7 linked regions of the Ovis aries genome follow. The protein of the gene in region 6 interacts with the protein of the main gene of each other region in a pairwise test. Links are inferred from orthologs where the notes say so. Each region holds a gene or a part of one and is shown on either strand. Other genes may lie near its edges. The genes, in order: CCDC120, TSGA10, ENKD1, FARS2, SYT17, MID2 and DCX.

What was found.
Region 1: the proteins of MID2 (region 6) and CCDC120 interact in binary tests that used the Homo sapiens proteins (3 or more experiments, as listed by UniProt). The link is inferred for Ovis aries from reciprocal best matches to the Homo sapiens genes MID2 and CCDC120.
Region 2: the proteins of MID2 (region 6) and TSGA10 interact in binary tests that used the Homo sapiens proteins (3 or more experiments, as listed by UniProt). The two-hybrid records come from large-scale screens. The link is inferred for Ovis aries from reciprocal best matches to the Homo sapiens genes MID2 and TSGA10.
Region 3: the proteins of MID2 (region 6) and ENKD1 interact in binary tests that used the Homo sapiens proteins (3 or more experiments, as listed by UniProt). The link is inferred for Ovis aries from reciprocal best matches to the Homo sapiens genes MID2 and ENKD1.
Region 4: the proteins of MID2 (region 6) and FARS2 interact in binary tests that used the Homo sapiens proteins (3 or more experiments, as listed by UniProt). The two-hybrid records come from large-scale screens. The link is inferred for Ovis aries from reciprocal best matches to the Homo sapiens genes MID2 and FARS2.
Region 5: the proteins of MID2 (region 6) and SYT17 interact in binary tests that used the Homo sapiens proteins (3 or more experiments, as listed by UniProt). The two-hybrid records come from large-scale screens. The link is inferred for Ovis aries from reciprocal best matches to the Homo sapiens genes MID2 and SYT17.
Region 7: the proteins of MID2 (region 6) and DCX interact in binary tests that used the Homo sapiens proteins (3 or more experiments, as listed by UniProt). The two-hybrid records come from large-scale screens. The link is inferred for Ovis aries from reciprocal best matches to the Homo sapiens genes MID2 and DCX.

What each region holds. Positions count from the first base shown.
Region 1 is NC_056080.1:56,040,667-56,043,811, reverse strand, and holds part of CCDC120 (coiled-coil domain-containing protein 120), read left to right. Parts: intron 1-372; coding exon 373-435; intron 436-713; coding exon 714-888; intron 889-1,024; coding exon 1,025-1,123; intron 1,124-2,308; coding exon 2,309-3,145. UniProt on the Homo sapiens protein: Centriolar protein required for centriole subdistal appendage assembly and microtubule anchoring in interphase cells. Together with CCDC68, cooperate with subdistal appendage components ODF2, NIN and CEP170 for hierarchical subdistal appendage assembly.
Region 2 is NC_056056.1:102,216,176-102,220,434, forward strand, and holds part of TSGA10 (testis-specific gene 10 protein), read left to right. Parts: intron 1-1,728; coding exon 1,729-1,899; intron 1,900-1,989; coding exon 1,990-2,067; intron 2,068-3,014; coding exon 3,015-3,166; intron 3,167-4,259. UniProt on the Homo sapiens protein: Plays a role in spermatogenesis. When overexpressed, prevents nuclear localization of HIF1A.
Region 3 is NC_056067.1:34,775,180-34,780,020, forward strand, and holds the start of ENKD1 (enkurin domain-containing protein 1), read right to left. Parts: upstream 3,154-4,841; 5' UTR 3,094-3,153; exon of another isoform or gene 3,049-3,093; intron 2,868-3,048; 5' UTR 2,853-2,867; coding exon 2,768-2,852; intron 2,683-2,767; coding exon 2,482-2,682; intron 1,941-2,481; coding exon 1,768-1,940; intron 746-1,767; coding exon 620-745; intron 532-619; coding exon 368-531; intron 268-367; coding exon 131-267; coding exon of another isoform or gene 127-130; intron 41-126; coding exon 1-40. Other genes in the region: C14H16orf86 (uncharacterized protein C16orf86 homolog), read left to right, coding at 3,374-3,478, 3,672-3,898, 4,238-4,485, 4,587-4,841. UniProt on the Homo sapiens protein: Microtubule-binding protein which regulates microtubule organization and stability. Promotes the stability of astral microtubules and facilitates the proper orientation of the mitotic spindle.
Region 4 is NC_056073.1:48,259,424-48,262,796, reverse strand, and holds the end of FARS2 (phenylalanine--tRNA ligase, mitochondrial), read left to right. Parts: intron 1-704; coding exon 705-879; intron 880-2,238; coding exon 2,239-2,424; 3' UTR 2,425-2,527; downstream 2,528-3,373. UniProt on the Homo sapiens protein: Is responsible for the charging of tRNA(Phe) with phenylalanine in mitochondrial translation.
Region 5 is NC_056077.1:17,263,443-17,267,701, forward strand, and holds part of SYT17 (synaptotagmin-17), read right to left. Parts: intron 3,356-4,259; coding exon 2,736-3,355; intron 1-2,735. UniProt on the Homo sapiens protein: Plays a role in dendrite formation by melanocytes.
Region 6 is NC_056080.1:127,419,495-127,424,304, forward strand, and holds the start of MID2 (probable E3 ubiquitin-protein ligase MID2), read right to left. Parts: upstream 3,305-4,810; 5' UTR 3,241-3,304; intron 3,176-3,240; exon of another isoform or gene 3,095-3,175; intron 2,744-3,094; exon of another isoform or gene 2,606-2,743; intron 1-2,605. UniProt on the Homo sapiens protein: E3 ubiquitin ligase that plays a role in microtubule stabilization. Mediates the 'Lys-48'-linked polyubiquitination of LRRK2 to drive its localization to microtubules and its proteasomal degradation in neurons.
Region 7 is NC_056080.1:123,700,862-123,704,066, forward strand, and holds part of DCX (neuronal migration protein doublecortin), read left to right. Parts: intron 1-1,866; coding exon 1,867-2,093; 3' UTR 2,094-3,205. UniProt on the Homo sapiens protein: Microtubule-associated protein required for initial steps of neuronal dispersion and cortex lamination during cerebral cortex development. May act by competing with the putative neuronal protein kinase DCLK1 in binding to a target protein.

The sequences.
Region 1 (3,145 bases), about 71 Mb from region 6:
GGACTTAGGGGACCCTAGCTGTGAGAGGAATTGTAGGCTGCTCCCAGGAAAGGGTGGGGACATTGGGAATAGGCCTCAGGCAAGTGAGGGACAGGGCCTTCCCTGGCGGTCCAGTGGTCAAGGCTCTGCACTTCCACTGCAGGGGGCACAGGTTTGATCTCTGACATAAAAACTAAGATCCCTCATGCCACTCAGTGCAGCCCAACAACAACAACAAAAAAAGTGAGGGACTCAGCCCCTGATGGTCTTGGATTTAGGTAAAGGTGGATTCTTGGGAAGTGTGCCAGGTGGGGAGGAGACGGTCCAGTGGTGTAAGGGGGTGGCACCCAGGCCTTGCATTGATAAGCGTGGGTCTCTGCTTTTCACCTGTAGAGGATGTGGTTCTGCACTCAGAGAGCAGCTCCCTCTCAGAGTCTGGGGCCAGCCACGATAATGGTGAGAACCCTTGTCCCCTAAATTCTCCCGTGCTCTGCATCGCCCCTGCCCTCCCTCTTCAGCCACACCCCATCCTCTGGTGGAGCTCCCACCTTCTTCACTTCACCACCCTCTCCCCTGTCTCTCCCATCAGCCCCAGTTCCTGCCTGCCTCCCTTGGTTCCTCCTCTACCTGTCCTACCCTGCTTAGCCCTCTGCACCTCCCTAGCCCCTGCCCTTGGCTTTGTCCACAACCCTCCCATTGAATCCCCCCTTCACCATTTTCTCCCTTCTGCTCAGAGGAGCCCCGTGGCTGCTTCCCTCTGGCTGAGCGCCCCTCACCGCCCAAGGCCTGGGACCAGCTGCGGGCAGTCTCTGGGGGCAGCCCTGAGCGGCGAACCCCATGGAAACCACCCCCATCAGATCTTTATGGGGATCTGAAGGGCCGGCGAAACTCTGTGGCCAGCCCCACCAGGTGAGGGTGAGCCCCTCCACTCCTTCCGCACAGCCAGGAGTGGGGGCTGAGCCTGGGTGGGCAGGAGGACCTGCTGGGAGGTACGGTCTCTAACCTGGCCCCCGCCCCCACCCTGGGCCCGCATGTCTCTGTCTAGCCCTACACGCTCACTGCCCAGGAGTGCCTCCAGTTTTGAGGGGCGAAGTGTGCCTGCTACTCCCGTCCTCACCCGGGGCGCTGGCCCCCAGCTCTGCAAGTAAGTGGACTCTAAGGGTGAGTTTGAGGACCAGAGGAGGGAACTGGTAGTTCTAACAGGGGGTACTGGGGAGAGTATTTGGATTCCAAGAGTGTAGGACATGAAAGACTGAGCTTTGAATCCATCAGTTTTATTCTGATTTTCTGTGTAAGTTGTATGAAGAAGCAAGAATTTTATTTATGCTTTAGAACTTTTGTTCATAATGCATCCTATTACATGATAAAGAAATATAGGTAAAATATATTTTGAAATATGCCATACATAATGTATGTGTAATATCACATTATAAATAAATTTTTTAATTGACCAAAAAAAGAAAAGAAAGGCTGAGCCTTGAAAGTTGAATAGGAGTTGTCTTGGTGCTATATGAGCACCCCCAGCCAACCCCCGCCTTGGAGAAAGAGGGTGGGGATTTGGGGCAGAAGCATTGAAGTTTGAGTATGGGCTTTTCTGTGCATTTTGGGCAAGTCATTTCCCTTCTCTGAATCTTGGTCTCCTCATTTGTAAAACAGGCATATCAATATCTGTCTCTGGAAGAGGCTGTAGGCATAAATGAGTTCTGGTTAACATGTGCTGCATACCTACCATCTGCTAGGAATCAGTACTTGGTATCAAACTCATTTAGTTATCACAACATCCCTATGAGGTAGATGCCGTTATTCTCATTTTAGAGATAAGAAACCCGAGACACAGGTTAACTAACTTGTTGGTAAACCAAAGACCTGGTATTTGAACCCAGACAAATTTGACTCAAGAGTCCATGCTTTTAACCATGGTAGTCTCCTAGTCCTTAAACAAATACGTACTTACCAAGTGCCTACTTTTTCCAGGCTGTGAACAAAAGTCCCCATCCTTGTGACGCTTGCATTCTATGAATAGTGACCTCCCCTGCTAGCATTTCCTCTGGAGTCCCTTGCTTCCATCTCCCTCGGAGCTTAACAGCCCCAGGCACCCCATACATTTTCAACCCCTCTGCTCCCCAGTCCTGGCTAGGGCCTCTGCTGCTCTTAATGTGCCACTCCCTAACGCCTTTACACCCCATTTCTAGTCCGGGGCCCATTTTGGAGTGTGAAAATGAAGGCCCAGAGAGAGGCGTGTGTTGGGGGAGGGGTTGCGGAGCGAGCTTATCCCATCTGCCTGATATTTCTGACCCTTCTCCCATCACCCCCACCTCTGTGCCCCTAGACCCGAAGGCCTCCATTCTCGCCAGTGGTCCAGCAGCCAGGACTCCCAGATGGGCTTCCCGCGGGTGGACCCTGTCTCCGACCGCACCTCCCTCTTCGCAGCTCGCACCCGCCGCAGCAATAGCTCCGAGGCCCTGTTGGTGGACCGGGCAGCGGGTGGGGGAGCTGGGTCCCCGCCCGCACCTCTGGTTCCCCCTGCCACCGGTCCCCCAGTCTGCAAGAGCAGTGAGGTGCTATATGAGCGCCCCCAGCCAACCCCTGCCTTTTCCTCCCGCACGGCTGGCCTCCCAGACCCTCCCCGGGCTGCCCGGCCCAGCTCAGCCGCGCCGGCCTCCCGCGGGCCCCCCCGGCTCCCACCCGTGTGTGGGGACTTCCTCTTGGACTATTCCCTGGACCGGGGCCTGCCCCGTGGGGGCAGCGGGACAGGCTGGGGGGAGCTGTTGCCGGCAGCTGAGGTTCCAGGACCCCTCTCCCGCCGCGATGGGCTCGTCGCCATGCTCCCAGGCCCACCGCCTGTGTATGCAGCTGATGGCAGCAGCCCCCTCCTCCGCAGCAAGGACCCCCATAGCCGTGCCCCCCGCACCAAGCCCTGTGGTCTGCCCCTGGAGGCCGCTGAGGGCCTGGAGGCGCATCCCAACCCTCTACTGTGGATGCCCCCACCCGCCCGTATCCCCTCGGCCGGTGAGCGCAGCGGCCACAAGAACCTTGCCCTGGAGGGGCTGCGGGACTGGTACATCCGGAACTCGGGACTGGCCTCGGGGCCCCAGCGCCGGCCTGGGCTCCCTCACATGGGCCCGCAGCACCCGCCCTTCCTTCATGCCCGCTGCTATGAGGTGGG
Region 2 (4,259 bases), on a different chromosome or scaffold from region 6:
AGAAGATATTATAAGAAATAGAAGAGATAGGTATTTTTTAGTTATGGCAATTAAGATCTTTGCTGGACTATATGGAGTTTAAGTCCTGAAGGAAAGATGGGGTTTCTCTTATCTTGAAAGGGGTAAGAAGGAACATTCAAACTAAAGGAATGACCTAAAACAAAGGGTAAAGGCAGGAAAAACAGTATGTGAATGAATCCATTTATGACTAGAACAAAAGGTGTATGTCCATGGAGTGAGGTGGGAGCCAAGGCTAGAGAGGTGGATTGGACTAGAACAGAAGTTTTCAAACTTTCTGTGAAGGCCCAGGTAAAAAGCAGCCTGGGCCTTGCAGGCTATGTGACCTCTGACACAGCTATTCAGCTCTGTTGTTGTAGTGCCACAGCCCCAGTAGATACAAACAAGAGAACGAGTTTGTTCCTGTTATTCAGTCGCTCAGTTGTGTCTAACTTTTTGCAGCCCCATGGACTGCAGCATGCCAGGCTCCCCTGTGCTTCACTATCTCCCTGAGTCTGTTCAAACTCATGTCCGTTGAATCAGTGATGCCGTTCAACCATCTCATCTTATGTTGTCCCCTTCTCCTCCTGCCTTCAATCTTTCCCAGGATCAGGGACTTTCCCAGTGAGTAGGCTCTTTGCATCAGGGGGCCAAAGTATTGGAGCTTCAGCTGCAGCATCAGTCCTTCCAATGAGTATTCAGGGTTGATTTCCTTTAGGATTTGGCTGTGTTACAGTATAATTGATTTATAGAGACACAAGTACTTGAAATTCCATAGAGTGGTGGGTGTGGGAGCCAGGTTAGACTGGAGTTAGAGAATGGATGATAAGGAACAGGCAGGGTGTACAAACCATGACACTTAAAAAAAAACTGTCAAAGGAAAAAGAGACAGATGATGATAAACGGGACAGTAGGATTAAGTGACAGTTTTTCAAGATAAGGGAGCCATGTGCATGGTTGAAGAAGTAGAGGAAGAGCCAGTGGAGAGGGTGGTATTTAAAGTGAGACAAGTAATTAAAATTGAGTTAGGGGTATCTTAAAAGACACTTCAGAAAGTGAGGTCCAGGAGTCTGGTCAAGGCTTACCTATGGAAATTGGGAAGTAATATTTCTTCTTCTGAGACTTAGATACTAGCTGAATAGATAGTGAGCAAAATCGAGAGAAAGGATGATAAGGGAAGGAAGTAGCAAAGCAGGGTATGAAATCACCTGCAGATGTGGAATAGACTTGGAACCCAAGGATAGTTGTTGAACAAGTGTGTGAAGCATAGGTTGGGTTATCAGTAAGGATCAGTAGGCCTTTCTGTTGGGGTGAAAGTAGTCAAGACATGGAAATGGCACATACATTTTTGTAGAGAAATACTGGAACACTATGATAATATTTATTAAGCCAGTATTCTGCCTAAATTGTACTGATTTCAAATTTATCAGAAAATGGATGATATATATCATAGATACCTCTTAGTGAAACACTCTCTGTTGCATTAACTGCCTCCAAATTAATTTGTTTTAATTTTTGGCAAAGATAGTATAAACCAAACTTGTGTTTGTAGATATTCATTTACATTTGGGGCATCATTTGCATTTATTTGTGTAAGTTCATTAACGAATTATATCATTATCCTGCTGCAAGCACATTAATTAATATAGGCTTGCATTTTATCTGGCTGGATAGAAGATAGCTGTCCTAAAGCTTGTTAAACAGAAGTCTACGTATGTATTTAAACAATAGGCACAGGAAGAAATTGCCCGACTTCGACGAGAAATGATGAAAAGCTGTAAGTCTCCTAAATCAACAACAGCACATGCTATCCTCCGGCGGGTGGAGACTGAGAGAGATGTGGCCTTCACTGACTTGCGAAGAATGACTACAGAGCGAGATAGTCTGAGGGAGAGGCTAAAGGTTTGAAAGAATTTTATCTCTATGAGGATCTGTGAAATGCAAAACAGCAACATTAAGAGCACCTTTGTTTTCTTTTTGTTTTTTAAACAGATTGCCCAAGAGACAGCGTTTAATGAGAAGGCTCACTTGGAACAAAGGATAGAGGAGCTGGAGTGTACAGTTCATAACGTAAAGAAAAGTCACTTTTGCACTTTGGGCTATAAACTGTCAGTGGCTCCCCACTTTCCCCTTTTTCTGTGTTCGGAAAAGTTGGTTTTCTCAGATAGCATTTGCAGTCCTAAAGATGTTTAAGGTGGTGTATATACTGTAAATTATCACTTTTTCATTATTTATTTTCTTCTGAAAAATGTGAGTAAAGTCTTTTCTGTGTTAGGTTGTGTATGCTTTTTGTGTATGTTCTTTAAAGAAAAAGCATTAGGGATGCATTCTCAGTGATTTTAACACTTACTCATCTCCCTGTTTCATTAATGATAGCATTGCCAGGGACAGAGAAACTGGCTTATTCTTCCTAAAGAGTAGCTAAGATAGAGAAAATTATAACAGAATGAAAACCAATGAGAAAAATATATTTAAGCTAAATTTAATTGTGAAGCATCACCTTGTTACTAGTTAAGGCTTTGAGATGCTGTCCATATATATTGGCGATATTCTGACTATATAAACAGAATTAAGGGAATTCAGCTTTCCGTTACCAACTTCAATTGACTATATTTCTAAATTCATCTGTTTTATGTTATAATGAGTTTTTTTTTTAAAGAAATTGACAGGAGTAGACAGAAAAAAACAGAGTTTTTTTCATAATCCCAGTTTGTATGTATAACTTGTTCATATTGAGCAACAAATAAGAAAGCTTCTTGCAAACAGGCTATGTGTGCTGTAGTCCAGCTGAACCAGATTGAAAATGTGCATCTGCTGTGACAGGCTTCATGGACAAGCTGTGTGGCAGCGTGCCCAAGTTCCTGTTCTACAGCACCTTGTCCATGCAGCCTCCCACAGGTTTCAAGGCTAACCTGATCATCTCATATACCAGTTTCTACAAAGACAGAATGTCTCTCCTGAAAGATTACTGAGATGTTTTTAGTGATGGCAGTAACCTTGTCATTCTGCTTATATAGCTTGATGATGAACGTATGGAACAAATGTCAAATATGACTTTGATGAAGGAAACAATAACCACTGTGGAAAAAGAAATGAAATCACTAGCAAGAAAGGCGATGGATACTGAAAGTGAACTTGGCAGACAAAAAGCAGAGAATAATTCTTTGAGGTAAAGTCAATTACCATTAAACCAATGGTTTACTATAAATAGTAGCTCTGCTTTTTGAAGGATATTTTAGGGTGATAATTGAGTTATTTGTTGACTTTAATTTTTGGAAGGATTATTATGAAACAGTAGTGGACACCTCAGCACACATTAAATGATTTCCTAAAGGTCAGTCACAGACTGACAGACTGGGAATGCCGCATCTATAGGAGTCAAACTTCTAGTAATTTTCATCTCGTATTTGCAGAAAGCTTCACTATTGAGCTGAAATAGCTTTTACGAAGCCCTTCTGGGTAACGAACATGTTTGACCTTGGCCTTTCACTGTTTATAATTTACCTTATAACTTAAATTATGTCCTGGGATCCGAACAGTGTAAGAAAACACAAAGCACAGGTTTGACAATGGCTTAGAAAGGGGTGGTTTGACATACAGTAAAAGCCATAGCAAAGAAAGAAGAACATGTAACAGAACTTCTGTTAACTGGATGCCACGTGCTGTGTTTAGCTGTTCCTGCATACTGCCCTGTAGCAGGAAAATCCCAGTTAAAGCAACCCACACGCAGTGGTGTAGGGGAACAAGTTTCTGAAGACTTCCATATTAGCAGTTTCACTTGCACTGTCTATTGACGTGAGAAACAGAAATTCTACACATTCACTCAGGTTGAATTTCAGTGTATCTATGAACATATGAAAAATAATAGTTCATGAGAGTGTGAAATACATTATTTAGTCTACAGATAATACTTGGTTCATATACAAATTCCCAAAGTCGCCTCTTTGGTCTTTCAAGGGTCTGTGGTATGTACTGATGCATTGGAATCACTTGTCAGGACAGAGAATTACTCAAATTCTTTCCCTTCATTTATTTATTTATTTTTAATTAATTTATTTGTTTTAATTGGAGGCTAATTACTTTACAATATTGTAGTAGTTTTGCCATAAATTGACATGAATTAGCCATGGGTATACATGTGTTCCCCATCCTGCCTCCCACCTCCCTCCCTATCCCATCCCTCAGGGTCATCCCAGTGCACCGGCCCTGAGCGCCCTGTCTCATGCATGGAACCTGGCCTGGTGATCTGTTTCATGTATGGT
Region 3 (4,841 bases), on a different chromosome or scaffold from region 6:
GCAGGCAGCAGCACCAGCTCGCGCAGCAGCTGGCTCTGGCCTACAGGGGCCCCAGGAACAGTAAATGCTGGGCAGGGGTGCATAGTACCTGGTGGGTTCCCCAGCCAGCTCCCCTTGCCCACGTACTCACTCTGGAGCAGACTGCTCAGTGTCTCCAGCCGCTGGTTCTCAGGCATGCGAGTGTGGCCAGGGGGCATGGCTGGGTCTGGTTGGCTGTGCTGACGGGCCTCAGCCTCCCGCCGCCACAGGTCCCTGCGCTCCAACAAGCTGTGATGCACAGACCCAGGGCTGATGACCCTAGGCAGACGTGGGCTTCCACCCTCCATAAGTGCCCCTTCCCAGGAGTGGGGGGAGCAGTAGGACCTACTAATGGGGCACGTGACCCTTCTGCGTGGCGTTGTAGTGCTCCTGGGCTTGCCGTTGCTGCTCCAGCACCTGTGCCAGGACTTGCAGCGAGCGAGAATGCCGCCGGGGGGCCCTCTTGGCAGTGCGGGCATTGTGCATAATGAAGTCCACACCCAGACCTGGGGCCTGCGGGACATGGCCAGCATGATGAAACAGCACTGTGTGGTGCCCCGGAATCCCTGCCCCACCTCCCAGCCCCCACATATCCTCTCACCTTAGCATTGGGACCTGGTAGGGTTAGCTGGGGACTGGGGACACGGGGTGGTGGGAGCCCGGGGCCGCAACGGGAATGGGCCCGCAGAAAGTGGGCTGGCTCAGTTCTAGAGGCAGGGCCGGGCTCCTGGAGGCCAAGGCAGAGCGGGGGGTGGTCAGTCAGGCTGAAGTCAGGGTCTCAAGCTGTAAGACCATGCCTCTGTCCCTCCTGTCTTTCAGGATCTTTCTCTATCACCAGTCCTCTGGACCTGGCCTCCTTCCTCTTGAATAAGTACTTCCATCACATCAGCATTTAAACCTGTGTGTTTTTCACATCTCTCAGAAAACATATTTCCCTCCCTCTACCTCAGTCCTGGCTTCAGTCATCGTTCTCTTTTTCTCTCCTTCCTAGTCAAGCTTTCTGGCTCTGTCCCTACCAAGGCCACCAACAGCTGGTCTCCAAGCCCCCAAATCCAGGGTCACTTCCCTGGTTTCACTATCCTCAGCCTCGTCCTCAATAGCTCCTGGGTCTCACTTCTGAGATCCAGACCTGATTCTCCATCTGCCTCTTGGACACATTCCCACTCCCTGGAAGCCCCACAAAAGCTTCAGCTTCAACACACCCACATATGACCTTGTCTTTTTTTCTGTCCTACTTCTCCTTCTCAGACCCCTGGAAAGAGAAGTGGCACCACTAGCTACCCCAGATAGAATCTTACCACCATACATACCCCTGCCCTTCCCATTGTCCTTAGAAATAAAGGTTTAAAAAAATGGATTTATGTGGCCCTTTATGATGTGGGTCCAGCTGACTTCTTAGCCTAACCTCATGTTCTTCCTCCCTCATAGTGAACTGAACACAGCATCCCCACTGCCCACACTCCTAAGTCCCTGGTGTTAGGACCAGGGACCCTGGAACCACAAGGTTCCATTTCTATAAAATGTTCTCCTCTATTCTCCCCTTGCCTAATTCCGACTTGCCCCTCAGAATCACCCAGCTGTCATCACTTCAGAGAAAGGCCACAGCCCCACTCTGCAGCAGGACCAGCTCTTCATCCCCTGTGACCTCAGCCCACTGTGGGTTTCCTCCCTCCTCATAACTCAAGTCAGAGTATAATGTCCTGTTGGCCAACAAGACGGGCAACACTTGGGGCTCCCTGAGGCAGGTACCTGCAGCTGAGCCTTGACACGCGACTCCACTTTGTCATACTTGGGTGAGCGCCACAGGGCCTTCAGGGGCCTGGATTGGGCCTGCTCCTGGCTGTGCTCCTGCTCACGGAAGCGCCTCTGGATTTCCCTGATCCGCCTCATGTTCTCCTTCTCATGGTCTTTAGGGTCCTTCCCTGGAGAAAAGATGTTGCCCTACATACAGCCCATACAATCCAACTTACCCCAGTGGACACACAAGCCCACACCCTGCCTCCCTGACATACTCTAAAGTCCACCACATAACCTTGTTCTCGTCCTCACACCATAATTATCTTCTGTTTCTGATGATTTTATACATATTTGATTATGAAGTATACTAGTAATCACCTTGCATATCCTATTCACCTCTTCACTTGTTTTACTGTCTCCCACCTTGATTCAATGATGCGCTTCTTCGACCTTGTTCTCCTAGCACCCATAGGGCCTGGAGCACAGCAGACACTCAACAACCAACCATGCATAAATCCATGAAGCTGAGCTACGGGCTTTTCCGGGGTATGCCTCATTTAGTCCTCTCCTGCGAAGAAGTCGTGCATTTCCCGCTCCTTCTACAGTTGGGGAAACAGACACTCTGAGAGGTAAAGCCTGAGCCCAGAGCAGGGAAGGGGAAGCAGCCGTCTTTTTATCTGTTTTGACTTCAGAGCCGCCTCGCTGTCCGTTCTGACCAGAACTTACTCTTGGGAGAGGCCCCTGGGCCTAGGGAGATACCCCCGAGCTGCAGCAGCACACCACCCACGCCGCGACGGCCACGCTCCAGGATTTCTAGGCCTCCCGGACGGATGCGAGGGGCGCGGGGAGGGGTGGCGTCTAGGTCCGGGTCCGTATCCGTCGTCAGCAGGTCCAACTTCGGCGCGTTTCCCTCAAGGCGCCCTTGGGCTGAGAGGCCAGACGGGGCAGAGTGCGGAGTCAGTGGTGGAGCTGGGCCCGACCCTTGCCAGGCCGCTTTCACTCCCTAACTCACCCGAAGACGGCCTCCGGTAGTAGTCCGGACAGAGCGTAGGGTCTGGGGGGATGGGCCCCGAGATGCGGGACGGACCCTCACACATACCGCCGCCGCCGTCCTGCAAACGTTGCACCTGAGGCCTGCCGGGCTACGCGTCTCTGGCTCCAAACCCGGCTTCTCAGCCCAGTGCCTCCTCCCTGGCCCCGGGTCCTAACCTCAGCCGTGCCCTGCCTGCGTTCCCGGCCCCCACCCCGCCTCCCGGCCCCGGCCTGCGCTCGCCACCTCTGCTCTCAGCCCACCTCTCAGTACCGTTGGCAGGCTTCTCACTCGGGCAAGGGGCTCACCAGAGCGGTTTTGCCGCCCACTGCCGCCACCCGACGGGTTTGCTGTTGCCAGGCAACAATGGTTTCCGTCCGTGAGGTCAGGGGCCAATGGCCTTGGCGCAAAGCCTTCTGGGGCCTGTAGTTCCAGCTGAGGGGGGAGCAGAACGACTGTCAGTTGCCCTTCCCAATCCGGTCCTCTCCCGGGTCCGCTCAGGGTCTACTAGTCTGGCCCCTCAGGATCCGCCCTCCATCCCCAATGCCCCTCAAGCAACCGTCGAGGAAGTGCTGATCCGCCGCAGCTATGGACTCCGCAGGGGCTGAGAAGCGGCCAGGGGCCCAAGAAGGGGCAGCCGTGGGGCAGTCACAGCTTACAGAGATGCCTGGTGGCCATGCTCAGAATTCTGAGGTGACCATCGGGCTGTCTAACCTTCAAACACTTGGGTCATAGCGCTTTAATAGACCAAAACTGCCAGGCCAGGTTCCACAGGCTGGGAGGGGCATGGGCTGGTGCCCTTCATCCAGAGTATTTAGAGTCTAATGGCTGGTCCCTGTATCCTTTACCTGGCCATGGTGACCAGTTACCTGTGTGTCACCGCTAGTGTCCAGTGATGGGAGACCAGGGCCTGGTGCCAGCCCATGAGGCCTGCCAAACCCAGGATGAAGATAAATGTCCAATAAGATCCACCTCAGAGCCAAAGATCCAGGAGAGACTCAAGCTGGAGGAAGACAGGCACAAACCAGAGGTGGAGGCCCTGGAGGAGAGAGGTCCCAGGCCTACGGCCTCCACTGTGAGGCCCAGTCATGGTCCGAAGAGGAAGCCGGTCAAGTGAGGGGGCTTTCAGAGGGAAGAGACTGGGAACTGGGGAGGTGGTGTGGGGGTGGCTCATACCCCAGTTGGATTCTTAAATGGGGCCTTACAGTAGTGTCCATCCTTATCCCCTGACACCACCATCATTCCTCACCTCTGCTGACCCTCCAGAGCCCTGATGTAGGGAACATGCAGAGCAAAAGTCTCAAGGCCTGGTAGGGGACTGAACTCCCATGATCTCTGGGTCCCTGTCCAGTCCAGGGCCTCACTGACCAGGAAAAGGACAAGGATCACGGCCTGGGGAGGTAGGCAGGCAGGACTGTTCCCTAGGACAGGGCACAGGAGCCAAGGCTGCAGGCTGGCTCCTCAGGCCTCCTTGTTCCCCAGCCTCACAGGCCCGAGCCACCAAGCCCATCCTAGGGCAGAGAGTGAGTTGCCACAGGGGCTGTCGCTGCAGAGGGAAGAGCCGGAGAATAATCAGAATGAGCCCTCACCATCTGCCAAACAGCACAAAAAGACCAAGAAGCGCAAGAGTCTGGGAACCCCAGTGCTCCCAGTGGTGGCCAGCACGGTGTCGGCACCCTCAGTGACCTTGGGGCCTGAGCGTGAGTGGCATTTCCTGAGCCTTCCCTTTTGTCCCAGCCAGCTGGACCCAACACAGCCCAGCTTGGCACTCCAGTCATTGCCCTGCCCTGGGTTCTTGTAGGAAAGGCCCAGCGCCTGCGGCCCCTGTACCAGTACATCAACTATTGCAACCCTGAACTGAACCAGGCAGGGGAGGGGGACAGGGAGGCTGAGGCTGAGGTGGAGCCTGAGTCAGAGCTGACAGTGGTCCCCGAGGAGGCGGGTGTGGAGCAACTGCAGGCATTGCTGCCAGTGGCAGGTGAGCTGGGCTCCGACCTCACTCTGCCCTGCCCCAGTATGTTTGTGCCCCCGACCCACACTCTGGTTCCCCTGGGGG
Region 4 (3,373 bases), on a different chromosome or scaffold from region 6:
GGAGGCTGTCCAGCGGGGCCCAGCTGGGCTCCACCTCTGCACGGACGCGGCTGCTTGGGGACCTGGGCAGTTCAGGCCTTGCCCCCCCAGCCCCACTGCGAGGCCTGCCTGGGAGCCTCCTGTAGCTTGCACACAGCCTCTGTATCAGGTGCCCATGGCCTGGGGTCCCCCGAGGGCTCCACAAAGGCTTTGCTTCCGGGACCAGGAGGCACAGTGGAGACGAGGCTCCTACGGGCTGAGAGCTTGGGGCGCCCCATGTTGACCCTCCCTCCCATCTGCCATCACCTCGGGATGCTGACAGCATTGCCTCCATCACTGTTAGAGGTAGGGGTGGGAGGAGGGAGGGGAAGAACAGGGAGACCCAGAGGGCCGAACAAGGCTGGCCCGCCCCCACAAGGCCTGAACGCAGACAGCCGCCCCAGGGTCCGGTGATTGTACGGGAGTTCATTCAGCAGCTTTTATGCAGCACCTGCTGTATGCCAGACACTGCTCTGGGCACCAGAAGAGCAGAGTGTGCAGCCCGCCAGGAGTGCACCGCGTCAGCATGGGCCTACCTGCAGCCCACAGGGCGAGTCTTTGCTTCTGGTAGGACAGCTTTATTGAGACGTGATTCAGACATCATACACCCATTTAAAGTGTTCAGCTTAGTGGTTTTTATAATATTCATCACCATCTCACTCCAGACATCCCATTACCCTCAACAGACACCTGGACCCCCTTAGCAGTCACGCGGTCGCCCAGCTGCGCCCCCAGCCCGGGGCTTCAGGAATCTGCCTTCTGTCCATGTGGACTTGCTGTTCTGGACGTTTCGTTAGATGGAGTCGTATAAGGTGTGGCCTTTCGTGCCTGGAGCCTCTCAGTGGAGCACGGGGCGTTCAGGTTCGTCTGGCCTGTAGTACTAGAACGTCCTTTCTCTTCATGGCTGCGTAATTCTCCACACGGAGAGAGAGTGTTTGTCCACCCACCAGGTGAAGGGCTCTTGGGTCGTTTCCACTTTTGGGCTGGCGTGACTGCTGCTGCTCTGAACATTCGCATGCTGATTCGTGTGTGGACACACGCCTCCGCTTCTCTTGAGTGTATACCCAGGGAGGCGTCACTGGACCGGAGGGTGACGGTGCTTTTCAGCATTTGAAGGGCTGTCGGTGTGTGACCCTCAGGTTCCTCCAGCTCTTTGCCCAGCGGCCGCATGACTTGACGTCCGCACCAGCCAGGGGTGTGGAGAGGCCACCCAGAGGCCCTCAGTTCAAGGGTCTGGGCGGAAGGCACGTGGCACATGGTGCCGGGCTGACATCCCTGGGCCTTGCCCACTCGTCACTCCAGCTTCGTCACCTGCGGCGGGGACGGCAGGGCTGGCTCAGCTGGGGCTGAAGAGGAGGGATTTGGTGGCTTAGTTTCAGGAGAGAGACGGAGGTGTCCGTGGGGGGGAGCGCTGGAGGCCCAGGCTTGCCAGCTGGTGCCCACACCTCCCTGCTGAGGTGTTGGGCACCCAAGGGTCGGCAGCTGCTACGCTGCAGACGTGCTGTCACGATCCGCATTGCGACATTACCCAGCTGCGCCGTGGGGCCAGGCCCGCAGCCGCCTGGTGCAGGCGGGGATCGGTGACTTGTCTGCACAACACGGGGAGGGCACCACCATCTGTGTGCTGCCCGTGGCCTGCAGGTTCCTAACCCGCTCTGCTGGTCAGAGTCCCCCAGGGAGCCCCGGGCCCCCCAGCTCCGACTCAGTCTCCAGGAAAGCCTGCTGCTCCCTCCCTTGGCACACCTGCCCACACTCACACCTGCCTGCACTCATACACCTGCCCGCACTCACATCTGCTTGCACTCACACACCTGCCCACACTCACACACCTGTGCACACTCACACACACCTATCCACACACACACCTGCCCGCACTCGCACACTCACACACCTGCCCACACACACCTGTCTGCACTCACACACCTGCCCACACTCACACCTGACCGCAGTCACACACTCACACCTGCCCACACACACACCTGCCCACAGTCACCCACACCTGCCCACACACCTGTCCACACTCACACACCTGCCCACACTCACACCTGCCCACACTCACACACCTGCCCAAACTCACACACCTGCCCCCGCTCACACACTCACACACCTGCCTGTGCTCACTTACACACCTGCCCCCGCTCACACACCTGCCCATGCTCACACACCTGCCTGTGCTCACACACCAGCCCGCGCTCACTGCCTTTCTCTCCTGTCCTCTAGGACACACAGGACCAGCCACTGCTACCGCATCACCTACCGCCACATGGAGCGCACGCTGTCGCAGAAAGAGGTCGGGGGCATCCACCAGGCCGTGCAGGAGGCGGCCGTGCGGCAGCTGGGCGTCGAAGGCAGGTTTTGAGGGCCCCCTCCCCGGGCGTGGCGCTCCCGGGGCTCCAGGGTTGCTGAGTGAAGGAGAGAAGGATCCCATCTGTGGACTGAGGCATCAGTCATCCTGCGGTAAACGGGTCGGTTCCAGGACTCTCAGAAAATAAAGCGTTGCTCTCGAGAACCTGTGGACACTTGTCTTTCATTTGGGAGAAGCGGGGAGGCACGGGGAGGCGAGAGCGCCCTTCCGCTCCTTTCAGAGACGCTTCGCCTGTGGGCGCTCGGCTGCTTAGTCAGTCCCTGGAGTCCGCTAAAGTGTAAACACCAGACATGATTTCTTGCCTGACAGGCTCTTCCCGTCCCAGAATGAGTGAAGCCACACTGAGGGACGGACTGCAGACCCCGGAGACTTTCCTGCATCGGCTCCCAGCCCATCTCCCTCCTTCGGTTCCTCAAAGGGCAGGAGCGCAGGGTGCGGAGGAGACGCGGGGCTCCTTGGAGGCAGAGGGAATGGGCAGGATTTTATTTCCTTTTCACTGGAGCCCAGCCTCTGCCCCAGGGCCTGGGTGAAGTTGCCTCCTGTCCCCAGGGAGGAGATGGAGACTTGGCCGCAGGGCTGGGAGGCCCATGACCTGATGGGACCCGTCCTGGAAGCCCGGGAGCTTTTGTTCCCTGACCAGTGGCCTCTGCTTCCGAGATGACCTTTATGGGGGACTGCGGCGCTTTGGCATCTCCCCGTTTCCATGCCCGGCACTTCTGTAGTCTGCCTGCCCCACTCCTGACCACTTTTCCTAATCAGATTCCCTCCCCAGCATGATGCTGGAGGCTGATGGCGGACCACATGCGCTGGGATAAATATCTGATGAGCGCGCCTGTTCGCAGCTGTTGGTGGGGTGGGCAGGCGCTCTAGCGGGAGGCACGGCCCCAGTGTCATTTTGCCCTATTATCTGCGGGTCACTTCCCGTGGACTCTCAAGGGAATCCGGTGCAGGCCGCACGCCAGCCGGGCCAGGCCGCGGGCCAGGGCCCAG
Region 5 (4,259 bases), on a different chromosome or scaffold from region 6:
GGAAGCACGGCCCCGCCAGCACCTTGATCTTGGACTCAAAACCTCCAAATTGTAAAACAATAAACTACACTTTTAAGCCACCCAATTTGTGGTGCTTTGTCACAACAACCCTAAGGAAACTAAGCCACCTCGAAATTCTATCTCAAGCTCTGCTTCTAGACACCCCAACAGAGAGCGGACGTGCCCACTCAAACAGCATATACTCCAGAGCAAGCTTGAGATGAGTCTAGACTCTCGCCTCGATTTCCACGAGCCTCTCATTGCATGAGAAGGAAGAAGAAGAAGGAAGGGAGGAAAGAGGGAGGGAGGGAAGAAGGAAATTCGCTTTGGGGATCCTTCCATCCTCCACTCATTCAGTAAATATTGCTGAGCACCATCAGCTGCTCATCACTGTTCCAGGAGCAGGGGAGAAAGACGAGAACAAAACAGACAAAAGTTACCGCCCTCGCGGGGTTCACATACCAGCAGGGGAGACAGACCATAAAATGCCCAGTCTATGGGATGGTAAGTGCCATGGAGAAAAGCAAAGGAGGAGAAGGGGATGGGGCGTGCCCAGGGCAGGGGTGAAGCGACAGATGCTCCACAGCCCAGTCTCAGTTCAGGCAGAGAGCAGCACGCCTGGGCGCCTTCTCTTTTCTGCCCAGCCCTCCTGTGAGGTTTGGGGAGCCCACCTGGCCACTGGGCAAAGATGGAGTCTACGCCCACCCCAGGGCCAGAATGGCGCCCTTCAGAACCACCCCTGGCTTTGACATCCCTCCTTCTCTGTCTCCTCCTCAACCCTTCCTCTTGCTTCCTGGGATCACCTCCTAAATTAACGACCTGCACCTACCCCCAGCCCCTGGCCCCAGCTTTCAGGAACCATACCAGGGCAGGTGCACCTGGAACTTTCCATTTCAGCCACGATAACACTTCAGCCAAGACCTAGGGGAGCCAACCTGTGGGCATGTCCAGGCCCTCCCCCTCCAGGGCTCTGCCCTGACACAAAGAGTGGAATCTGGAATTTATCATGTTTGGTGGGTCTCCCTCTGTCCACATAATTTACTTGACAGTTGAAAACCTCGATCTCAAATATCGAAGAGGATACACGACATGATCCCATATATCCTGCTTGTGTGATGGGAAGGCAAACTTAGGATTACAGCAGACACTAACTACCTTCTCCTGACCGTGATCATTCCTGCCTACATGAATCTGCCAGCTCTTGTACATATTTTGCATCTGTGGATGTCAAGGGGCTCTGTACCCACCAGTGTCACAAGCCAGAAATATCAGGAAATGAACCTCCCCTCCCCCCAGCCCTCGTTCAGTGACTGACAGGAGGTGGTGTATTAACACCCCAGCTCCCTCACCTCTTGGGAGGAAAGGCTCTTAGACCTATGTCCGACACTGGCTCCTGGCTCCTCTAACAGGTTTCTGCTCCAGTCACCACAGTGGTGGCAGGCCTGATATCTGCATCTTTTAAGTGACATTCCTACCTGCTCTTGGTATTTCCTCCGGTGTCACCTCCCTATTAAATGACTTCCTTGCCTGAGAGTCTTCTTTTTCTTGGGGAATCCAAACTAAGAGAGTGATAGTTTCGAAGATGGTGTATATACACACATACAATGTAGCAGCCCCTCCAGTCCTCGTTTAACACGTGCATCCCAAATGTGATGCTGGATGATCAAATCCCTGGACGCGGAGCTCAGCTTTAGAAGCACCTTGGTGTATTCGATGCAAAGTAATCCTATTTGCATTACAAGGATCAATGTCTGACGTGGATGGTCTTGACCAGCCTCCAACAGGATCTTTTCCCCTGGACTCCCCCCACATCTTTCCACCCACAGTGAGTGCACTGCTATCCTCCAGCCCATAAAATGCCCCAGAAAGGGACCCTGAAGCCCACTGGGGAGAGAGTTTGGTCCATGGGTAGCTCCCCAGGCAGCCCAATGTGTGTCACCGCGCTGGAAGAGGGAAGGAAGCTAATCTTACAATTCACCTGAAAAGCAATCATCCATTATCCCGGTCTTCAGCCCTCATCTTATTTTTCCCAGATCAATTCCTGAAAGTCAAAATGACAGATAGCTTCATACTCTGGACAATAATTCTTCTTAGTAAATAAGCCAGCATCAATGACAAAAAGTTCCCAGGGTAGTGCTGGTTACCTGAATCCATACATGTGTTATAATTTCATAGAATCACACACACACACACACACACACACACACACATGCACACGCACACAGAAGATGCTGGTGAAGGGACTTCCCTGGTAGTCCAGGGGCTAGGACTCTGCACTCCCAATGCAAGGGACTTGGGTTTGACCCTGGCCAGGGAACTAGATCCCACACTCCACAACTAAAGGTCCTACATGATGCAACAAAGATTCACAATCTTGTGTGCCGCAACCAACACCCAATGCAGCCAAAGAAGTAAATAAACATTTTTAAAAAAAACTGGGGAAAATTGCATAAGGTCTAGTTTAGCTACCAAATAGCAGTTTCTTGGTGTCCTAGCGTACACAGATCGTATGAGATTTACCAGCCAGGAAGGTGGATGAAGAACACACAGGACTCCCTGTACTGTTCTTGCAACTTCTTGGGAGTCAAAAAATTATTTCAAAATCAAAAGTTTTAAAAATGCAAAAAAAAAAAAAAACCAACCCAAACAAACAAAACTTAAATTCTGAGATTAAAAAAATAATAATCGTTTTTTACAAAGCTCCCAGCAGGAGACACTGCCAACCCACCCCTTACCTGAGAACTGGGAATCAGCGCCTTCCACCAGTGACCACCCTTCACCAGGTCGACCTCGCACAAAGGCACAGCCACCTTGCCGATGACGCAGTGGCGTGAGAACTTATCGAAGTCCAGCACCGTCAGGAGCAGGGTCCTCCTCTGAGCCTCCAGGAAGGGGATCTCGAAGGTGTAGCGCTCCTCGAACACGGGCTTCTGGGTCTTGCGTTTGACTCCGGTCTGCTTGGAGTTCTTCTGGTCCGGCAGGAGGCAGATCTTGACGTAGGGGTTGGAGTGCGCCATGTCCTGGCGCGCGCCGTCGTGGGAGATGGGGGGCGGCAGGTCCCGGGCCTCGATCACGCGCACCGTCAGGTGGTTGTGCAGCAGGTCGTACTGCGTGCTGAAGTGCAGCATGCCCAGCTGGTACTTGGACAGGATCTCCGCGTCCGTCAGGAAGTCCACGTCGTCACTGTTGGAATCGAGGGAGTATAGGCGGGGCTCGAACTTCCTGAAGTAATCATCCGGCGTATAGGTCCGTCTGAGCACCGAGGGCTGGATGGGCTCTTTCTTGGCGCTGAGAACGCCGAACTCGATGGGCTTAATATCAATCAGTGGAGAGCTGGGCCGTCTGGACTCGAGACCTACACACCCAGCAGAAATAACAATTAACACCACCAAGTACTGGACTGGATCTGGGCCGATGTGTGAGATCAAGGACCTTTCATAGATTCTCACATTGTTTGCTCTGCTTCATAATGCTCTTTCCATATGCTCTCCACTCCTGGAAATCCTCTTATTTACTCTATGAGAGGAAGGGCAGCGGCACAAATATCCCCATCTCCACGACAGCTAATTGCCAGGCACTGCTCTAAATGCCCTGCGTACATGGAGAAGGGAATGGTTACCCACTCCAGTATTCTTGCCTGGAGAATTCCATGGACAGAGAAGCCTGGCGGGCTACAGTCCATGGGCTTGCAAAGAGTCGGACACGACTGAGCGACTAACACTTTCACATTCATAACCCTCACAAGGCATTAGCCAGTGACTATTACCTTCACCGACTCGATGGACGAGAGTTTGAGTGAGCTCCGGGAGATGGTGATGGACAGGGAGGCCTGGCGTGCTTCGATTCATGGGGTTGCAAAGAGTCGGACACGACTGAGCGACTGAACTGAACTGAACTGATGACCTTCGCTTTACAGAAGAGGAAACAGAAACTCTAAGTAACTCACCAAAGGGCACCCCACTGGTAGGAGGAGGAGCCAGGATCCAAGCCCCACCTATCTGGCCCCAGGGTCCGACTCTAACCATTCCCAGCCTCCGATTTCACGGAGTTGGCTCTGGGGCCAGTGTCTGGGTCAAATTCCAACCCAGCTACTTCCTCGTGAACCACGTGACTCTCTAGTAACGAGCCAAGTGACTCCAGGCACATTTTACACACTCGGTTTTCCCATCTGTAACATGGAGCCAATCATAGCAGCCACATCAAAGATGGTGGTGAAAACTCACTGAGCGATGCGTGGAGAGAGCCCAGCACAGAACGTG
Region 6 (4,810 bases):
CTCCTCTTCATCAAGTAGCAAAGGCATATTCCTTGGGCAGTTTCCTTCTCAACTGTCATGGTGTCAGCAGATTTTATGGGAGGAGGGATGAGGGAATGGACAGGTTCACTAAGAGCAATTTTTGGATGCAATTATGAGGCTCCTTTGGCACTGTTTTAGGATCTACAAGTTGGAGCAAGTTGCCCTGCACTTAGAGGAGGGAGTAACTAAACTAATTTCACCTAAATCAATTTGCACTGTTCAGATGATATGTTCATAAAGCAACCAAGCCATTCTGATTTGCAGCAGTACTTCCCAGGGATGGCCTTGCAAGGTACAACATGCTAGATTAGGAGTCTAGCAGTCATGAAAGTAAATGGGAGGGAAATACTCGCTCCTTCAAGTCTCTAGGCTTTACCCCTGCCCTGCACAGCCCCTCCCAGTCCTAATCCGAGAACTGCAAGTGCAGAGGTATGCCTTAAACAAACAGGAGGCCAAAATGTAAGGCCAAAGCTGGGGCCTTAGCCCAGTCAGCAGAGGACTCTGCACATTGCAGGTGCTTTTAAGAAACATGGTTGATTCACCACTGCAAGATACTAATCCTGCTTAGATACCCATGCCTAAAAGTATTTAAGCCACTTTTCAGTAGAAAGTAACTACCCACCCCTATATGGGCTAAAAATGAGTGAGGTTATGTTTTCAAATGCATCTGATTCAGATTGTTAGGTTGGAGTACATTAGATATGATTCAAGCCTTAGTTTAAAATAATCATCATTACTCTTTATGTCTTGTTTTATGTACGTTTTCATTCAGTTGCATGTGCACTAAGGGAAAAAAAAAAGAAACAGACCTAGGACCACAGTAGGGTAATAGATTTGGCTCCCAAAAGGGTTAATAATGGCAAGTTTGGGTTCCCAGTAAAGCAGGGTTCCTACTTACACCCAAACTATTACCTCAATAAAAGGTAAATGAAGTACTTTCTTTGAAAAGTATAATGCTGAGGGTTTATAGAATCCTTTCATCTTCAAAGGACCAAGCCAAGACTCACAATAGCCAGTACACAATATGATGTCTTTCATACAAGTGCATCAACTATGAAAGAAAGGTCACAGGAATGTCCTAAAGCCACAAAGCCAATGAAACATCAGATTTGAAATGAACTCTCTGATCTCCTTGGCTCCTAGACTTGTATTTCAACCACATAAATCAAGCTGTGTGGAACCATCAGGGGAAATCTAATTCACATTGTATATCTGCATTAATTGATTGGGCAGGAAAATATTAAAGTAGCAAAGACTCTTTCCCTCTCAAGGCAGTGATGAGTGGAGTGAAAAGGGGGATGTGAGCATTAGGGGTAACCAGCTGGGGTAAAATGAGAAGTAGGGGAGGGACTCTCCCTATTCAGGGGTCCCCTTCCATTGGCACATTGCCAGAGAACTGACTGGAGTATTGGAAGGGGACAGAATGGAGGTAAAGGCAGCCCTTATGGCCCACCTTAAGAATCAGAAGAATCAACCCACACTTGTACTTGTCTATTTACATAGCCTCTAATACACTTCAGACACAAACAACCATAACCATCCACCCTCCCCACACTCAGAAATCCTCAAAATGGCAAAGCTGGTTCAGAAGCCAGAGGCTGCTTGACAGGGAGCCTGGGAGTGCACAGGACCCAGGAGACGTGTGGTTCTGGTTGGGAGATTACCGTGGGCAAGTAGGTGTGTGATTACCACGTAGGAAGAAGGCGAGTGAGTGTGAAGGCGGGTAGGGGGGTATGGAAGAGAAAAAGTGAAGAACACAACGACCCCAGGATCCCAATGTCCTGCTCTGAGAAGAAACGCCTCCAAGAAATGTGCTGCACGCGTTATGCTAAGTAACCGAAACCTTATCATCACCAAAAATGTTTCTGTCAATCTACTCCGCTTATTTACTTAATTCTTACGAGCCAGGAATGGAAAAACCCCACCTTTCCCGGGTTCTATCGCAGTCTGTCCGGGGGACCTATAAGTTTTCCCTCTCCCCCACTGAGCTGGTTTCACAGCTAGGCCAAAAATAAGGAACCACCCAGACAGAGACTCCAGGATCATTCCGTGGCAGCAAAGGGATTAAGTTTCGCCCGGCCTCCCCGCGGGCAGGGTGTCCGCAGCATCTCTGGCTGCCGCAGCCACCACAGCCAGGCGGCCGAGGGGCGCCGCCCGGGCCAAGGAGGTGGCCGGCCGCGGGAGCGTGGGAAGGCGGCGGTGCCCTTTCCCAGACTAGCGCCCAGGCTCTCGGAGAGCCGCTCCGGGAGGGGCCCGCGCCCGACCCGGCTGGACTGCGCGGGAGGCCTAGGACCCGCCCCCGCCCCGGACCCCCGAGTGCAAACTCCGTCCCTGGAGGGCAGCGACGGGTGCCCGGGCCCCAGCGGCGCATCGGGGAGCCAGGGCCGGGCCGGGGCGCCCTCCGCCGCCGCCGCCACCTCGAGCCTCGGGGGCCCCGTCACCCCGCCCCGCCGAGCCCCGGAGCAGCCCTCGGCCCCCGCCGGGCCCCGGCCGCACCTGAGACGCGCGGCCCGAGCCCGGGGCCGAGCCCGGCGCGGGTGGTGGCGGTCGGCCCCCGGGGCCGCGGCGAGGGGGCGCGTTTTACCCAGAGCCTTCCCGGCTGCCGGCCATGTCCTCGGCGCGCCCGAGGGCGCCGGGTGCTCGCCTGCCTCCCGCGCGAGCTGGCTCAGGCTCCGGCGCGAGCTCCCCGGCTGCCACCGCTGCCGCCGTTGCCGCCGCCGCTCTAGGCCGCCGCCCGCCTTCGCAGCCGCCGCCGCCGCGCAGCAGCCAGGATCCGCCCGCCCGCGCGCCCCGCTGGGGACAGCTCGGCGGCCGCCACGCTACCGCGGCTGGGTCTCCCGAGCCAAACTTAAGAGTTTTCGCTCCTCAGTCCAGGGGCAGCACCATGACACCGCGGCAGCACCACACTGTCATTTCCGCCGTCGCAGGGCGTGGGGGGCGGGGGGGGGGTAGAGAAGGCAATCCCGACGAAAAGGGGGATGGGGTGGGGGCGAAGCGGGCTGGGGCTGCTGCCCCGAGGGAGCGCTGGGAAGGGCCCGGCAGCCGGGGCGCTCGGCCACCTTCCCCGGCTCACCTTCTGCCGCCCCCGCCGCTCCCAGCTCCCCCTGCCCCTCCTCTGGAGGCGCGTTTACATGTTTTCTCCCCTGGCAGGAGTGACCGGAGAAACCTGAGCGAGCAAAGGCAGCGGGTGGGTGGGGTTCGGGTTACTACTGTACCTACCAGCTGATTCCAGCAGCCTTTTCTCCAGCGCCCTGTCATCTTGAAGGAAGACATACGGAGAGGGGCCGGAGCGGGTGTGTGTGTGCGTGTGTGCGTGTGTGTGTGTGTGTGTGTGTGTGTGTGTGTAAGAGAGCGAGAGCGCCAGCAGAATGTGTGTGAAATGCAGAAGGAAGACTCTGGCCAAACTCTTCTCCCAGCCGCCAAGCCCCTGGCCCCCACAAACCCCTAGGTTAGAACAACGAAAGGGCCGTTGCCACCAGCAATGAGAAGAGAGTGCCTAGGTCCAGCGCACAGGTCCTCGGACGAAGCTGCTCAATGTAAAGTTAACTACAGAGTAAAACAAAAATAGTGGAGGAGACAGAAAAGGGCAGACAATTGAAGGAAACCCAACCCCTCTTTCTTTTTACAAAGGGAGAATGGCTGTGTTTTATTGGCCTTGGGCAGAAGTTGTGGAGATGGATTAAAGCCACCAAAATTAAAAAACAAAATCAAAAAAGTGGGGGAGGGGGGGAGTGTAGGGCCTCATTTACACATTCAAATCCGTGATGGGCCAAACCAGAGGGTCTTTAATAAGAGGACAATGGGACGGATGTTAGCTATATACAGGTATTCAATGTCCCTAATAAGCTAATTGGTCCAGCTGGAACCCAGGAGCGTTCATTGGTCTGGAGTCCGCCCGTGGGACCTGTCATTGGCTCAGAGACCACCGACCCACTCCTCGAGGAGGGTGGGAGAGGGAGGGAGGAGGAGGCCCCAGAGGAGATTCTGTACCTCACATAGGGAAATGAAGGGGATTTTTAAAAAAAGGCAAGATGAAGGGGAAAGGAGTGAGAAAATGGGAGGAAAGAACCCCCTCTCCCATAGCTCTCTCATTACCTTCGGTGGGAATGAGTCCAGAAAAATTAAGGTAATTCTGGGTGTATCCCATCAGGGAACCAATAGTAATTAGCCAACACCCCTGTTAAACAATGTTCAAGAGAGCACTGAGGTGGAAAGGAAGGCAAAAATCACAACCAAGCTATCCTGATGAAAGTCTGGCCCTAAGAAAAGTAAAAGTTAATGAGTCACACCAAAAACACAAGCAAAAATAAAGCTAAACTAGACAAGAGGGACTACATTGAACTTAAAAACTTCTGTGCAGCAGAAGAATCAACAGTGAAAAGGCAAAAATAGAGAGAAAATATTTGCAAACCACGTATCTGGTAAGAGGTTAATAGGTAAAGAACTCCTACAAACCAATAACAAAGTAAATATCACGATTAAAAAATGGGCAAAGGACTGAAATAGACGTTTCTCCAAAGAAGATAAACAAATGGCCAATAAGCATATGAAAAGATGCTCAGCATCGCTAATCATCAGGGAAATGGAAACCAAAACCACAATAAGATATTATCTCACACTCATTAGGCTGACAAGTATTTAAAATAAAACAGAAAATAGTAAGTGTTGGTAAGGATGTGGAGAAATTGGAACACTGTTTGCAGTTGGTAGGAATGTAAAGTGGTGCAACTGCTATGGAAAACAGTGAGGAGGTTCCTCAAGAAATTAAAAATAGAACTACCATGTGATT
Region 7 (3,205 bases), about 3.7 Mb from region 6:
CTTCCCGCTGGCCTGCCTGTGGCAACCATTGATCTATTGGACCTTCTGTCTCTGTAGATTTGTCTATTCTCTAGTCATCTCTCCAGACTTTTTTCAGGTGTTGCCTCCTCTTGTTTGCCTCCTAGTTCCCTGATTTCCAAGCATCTCTGCTGGGCTCCAGTAACACCACTTGTCTGGCTCTGTCATAGCACTTATTCTCCAGTATTCTTATCTGCCTCCCCATTTGAAGTGACTTACTCATCTCTGAAACCCCAGTGTCTAATTCTTGGCTCAGTTTAGAGAAAGTACTCTGGAACTACTGGCCAATTTAATGAATGACTCCCAGGAAGCCCTGACAGGGAGAAAGGCCTCTCAGTGAGTGGGTTAAAGACAAGTGAATACACAGGTAAAACCAGATGGTGGATGCCTAAGTGCCCATTTTTCAGCTCACTTGCACTTGGATAAATTCAGCTACCACCACACTGATGTCTCTTTCATCTCTATAGTTGATGTGAAGGTTCCAGAACCTAGGGAAACATTACCAAAGTGGTGCAGAGGAAGTATATCTTCAGGAAATATTCATGATACATCAGTTTAAGCTTTACCTATGGGATCAACAGCAACACTCTCAGGCCATCTTCTTGCTCAATTTTTTCAATTTCCTACTCTCTCTCTTCCTCTACCCGCTCTCCCCTGTCTTCCCTTCCTCCTCTTTCTCGTCTCCTCCCCTCTCCCCACAGTGCCCTTGGGATATTTGCCTTTTTTAAAAAGCACATTTCAGAATATCTGAGGAACAATGTAGGTCCTTACATTTTAAAATAAATTAACTTAAGCATGAGATGTCTGAACATGAATTCCCTTTGAAAGCTGTTTAATTGTTCCACTTCAATGCACCACATTTCTTTTTACATGATTGGATCTTTTAAAAATCTGGTCAGCAAGGGAATATAAGACAATTTGCAACAACAATGGAATATAGAGATGTTAAATACTAAATCATTGCATTTTCAACATTTTACTGACTAGAGACAAATGGAGGTGCACCCTGACTCTGGCTATTAATGCCATCATCCTTTTTCTGTCTGTAAGCCTTTCTCCTGATTTCAAACTTCTTCCTTCTCTTTCCTAGCAACCTCTTGTCTCTCGTCTCCTTCACTCCTGATCTCTCTCTCTCATTCTCAATTCTCTCCTCTGCCCATTTTGCTGTATGCACCTCTCTTTATGTTTCACACTGTTTCTCCTCCATTTTCTTTTCCATTCTGCTTCCTAATTAGCTCTTTCTCTCTCCTTTTTTCCTTCTGGTCTTTGCACCCATAATGAGGTAGGGAAGAGAGAGTGGGGGGGGGGGGGGAAGATGAGCAGGAAAATAGAGAGGGGAAGAGATAGATAATAGGGCTGTCCTGCACCACATCATCTGCCACCAAAAGGGACATGCCCAAATCACCCAGATGCCTTCCCCTTTAAGGTGAGGCATATGACCTCTTCATGCCTTTTTAATGTCATTTATAAAATTGAAACAGAGTAACATGTTCCCGGACTACCTCCCAGAGATGCTGCTAGGGTCAGACTTGGGAATGAATATGAAAAAGGTTTGAAAAGAACCAGATCCCTGTAATTGGAAGTACTTGGGAGGAGGTGAGGCGGGGAGAAGGGGGGGGCGGGAGTTAGATTACTGCTTTGCACCACAAGGGGATCTAATTAACTGAGGATTGTAGTTCTTGCCTTTCTGAGGAATGTGTTTCTTTTCACCTTTGTTCTACTCATCAAATCACTTGGTCGTCTGTGTAGCGTGTTTGAATGTTCTTAGTGTCTTCAGAGGGGAAGGATAACATGTTCCTTTGTATGCTGTTGATTTTTCTCCCTTCCTTTTCTCTTGCCTTGGGCTAGCAAACGGAACCTCCAGCAGCCAGCTCTCTACCCCCAAGTCTAAGCAGTCTCCCATCTCTACGCCCACCAGTCCTGGCAGCCTCCGGAAGCACAAGGTATTATGTCTCTTATACCTTACTAAACTCCCTTTCACTTGGACTTTTTGGTCCATTAGCTTGAAGCCTCAGGAATCCCAGCAGGGGTCAAGCTTCCAATCATTGTGTTTATTCTTCTGGCCCCTGGCTTAATTCTATTTACCCAAAAGGAAGTGGTATGAAGGACCCAAATACCCCCATTCTGAGCTAATCGTGTCACCAAATGATGGCCCAAGGGATAAACTGAGCTTTGTCCCTCTGATTCAGAGGCACAGCAAACAGGATGGTGAGGGCAACTTAAGTTCCTAGGTCCGGTAAAGGTCATAAAGAAAGTTAGTCCTGAGTTACTCCCTTTAGATTCGTGGGACATTCAAATATGAACAGACCCTAATTTCACTGTGTATTCTTCGTGCTCAGGCCAATTCTGGTACACTGTGGGGAGAGAGGGCATATATTCATTGCACTGACCTTAGGTACCCTTTACACCTCTGAGTTAGCCCCAATAAATATACCATTAAAATAATAGATGTTGTAGAAATTCTCTACCTCCACTTTCCAAACTGATTTCCACCTAGAAATCTCTTCTGTATCAAAAATATGCAGTGGCCATTGCCTTCCACCTCACTTCAGGCCACATAGATGTGGTTTCTGCTGTGACTGTTGTTGTTTACTCCCGAAGTCATGTCCAACTCTTTTGCAACCCCATGGACCATAGCCCACCAGGCTCCTCTGTCCATGGAATTCTCCAGGCAAGAATGCTGGAGCAGGGTGCCATTCCCTTCTCCAGGGGATCTTCCCGACCCAGGGATCAGACCCTCATCTTCTTCATTGGCAGGTGACTCTTACTCCTGAGCCACCAGAAGCCCTCTGCTCTGATTACCACACCATAGAGTGGCTTCCTCTAGGATTCTCTTGTGTTCCCCTGGCTCACAAGACCTGGCATGAGATGGAGAAAGGCAAAAAAGCCACCAATGTGGCCAGTTCCATCACGGAACCATAGAGAGTCAGAGGTAGAAAAGATCTGAGACAGAGGTAAATTTGTTTAGTTTGATTCCTCAATGATCTTGTGGGATTGATATTTTACACATGAGGAAATTGAGACCCAGAATGGTGAAGTTACTTACTGGAGTGACATGGCTAGGCAGCAGTAGACATAAGGTCCTAACCAAGGTTATGACCCTTGGTGTACTGGAGCTGGTTTACACTAGCTCATGAGAGCTGACTGTGTACACTGCTTCCCAACTCTAGTAACTAGAGCTCAGCCA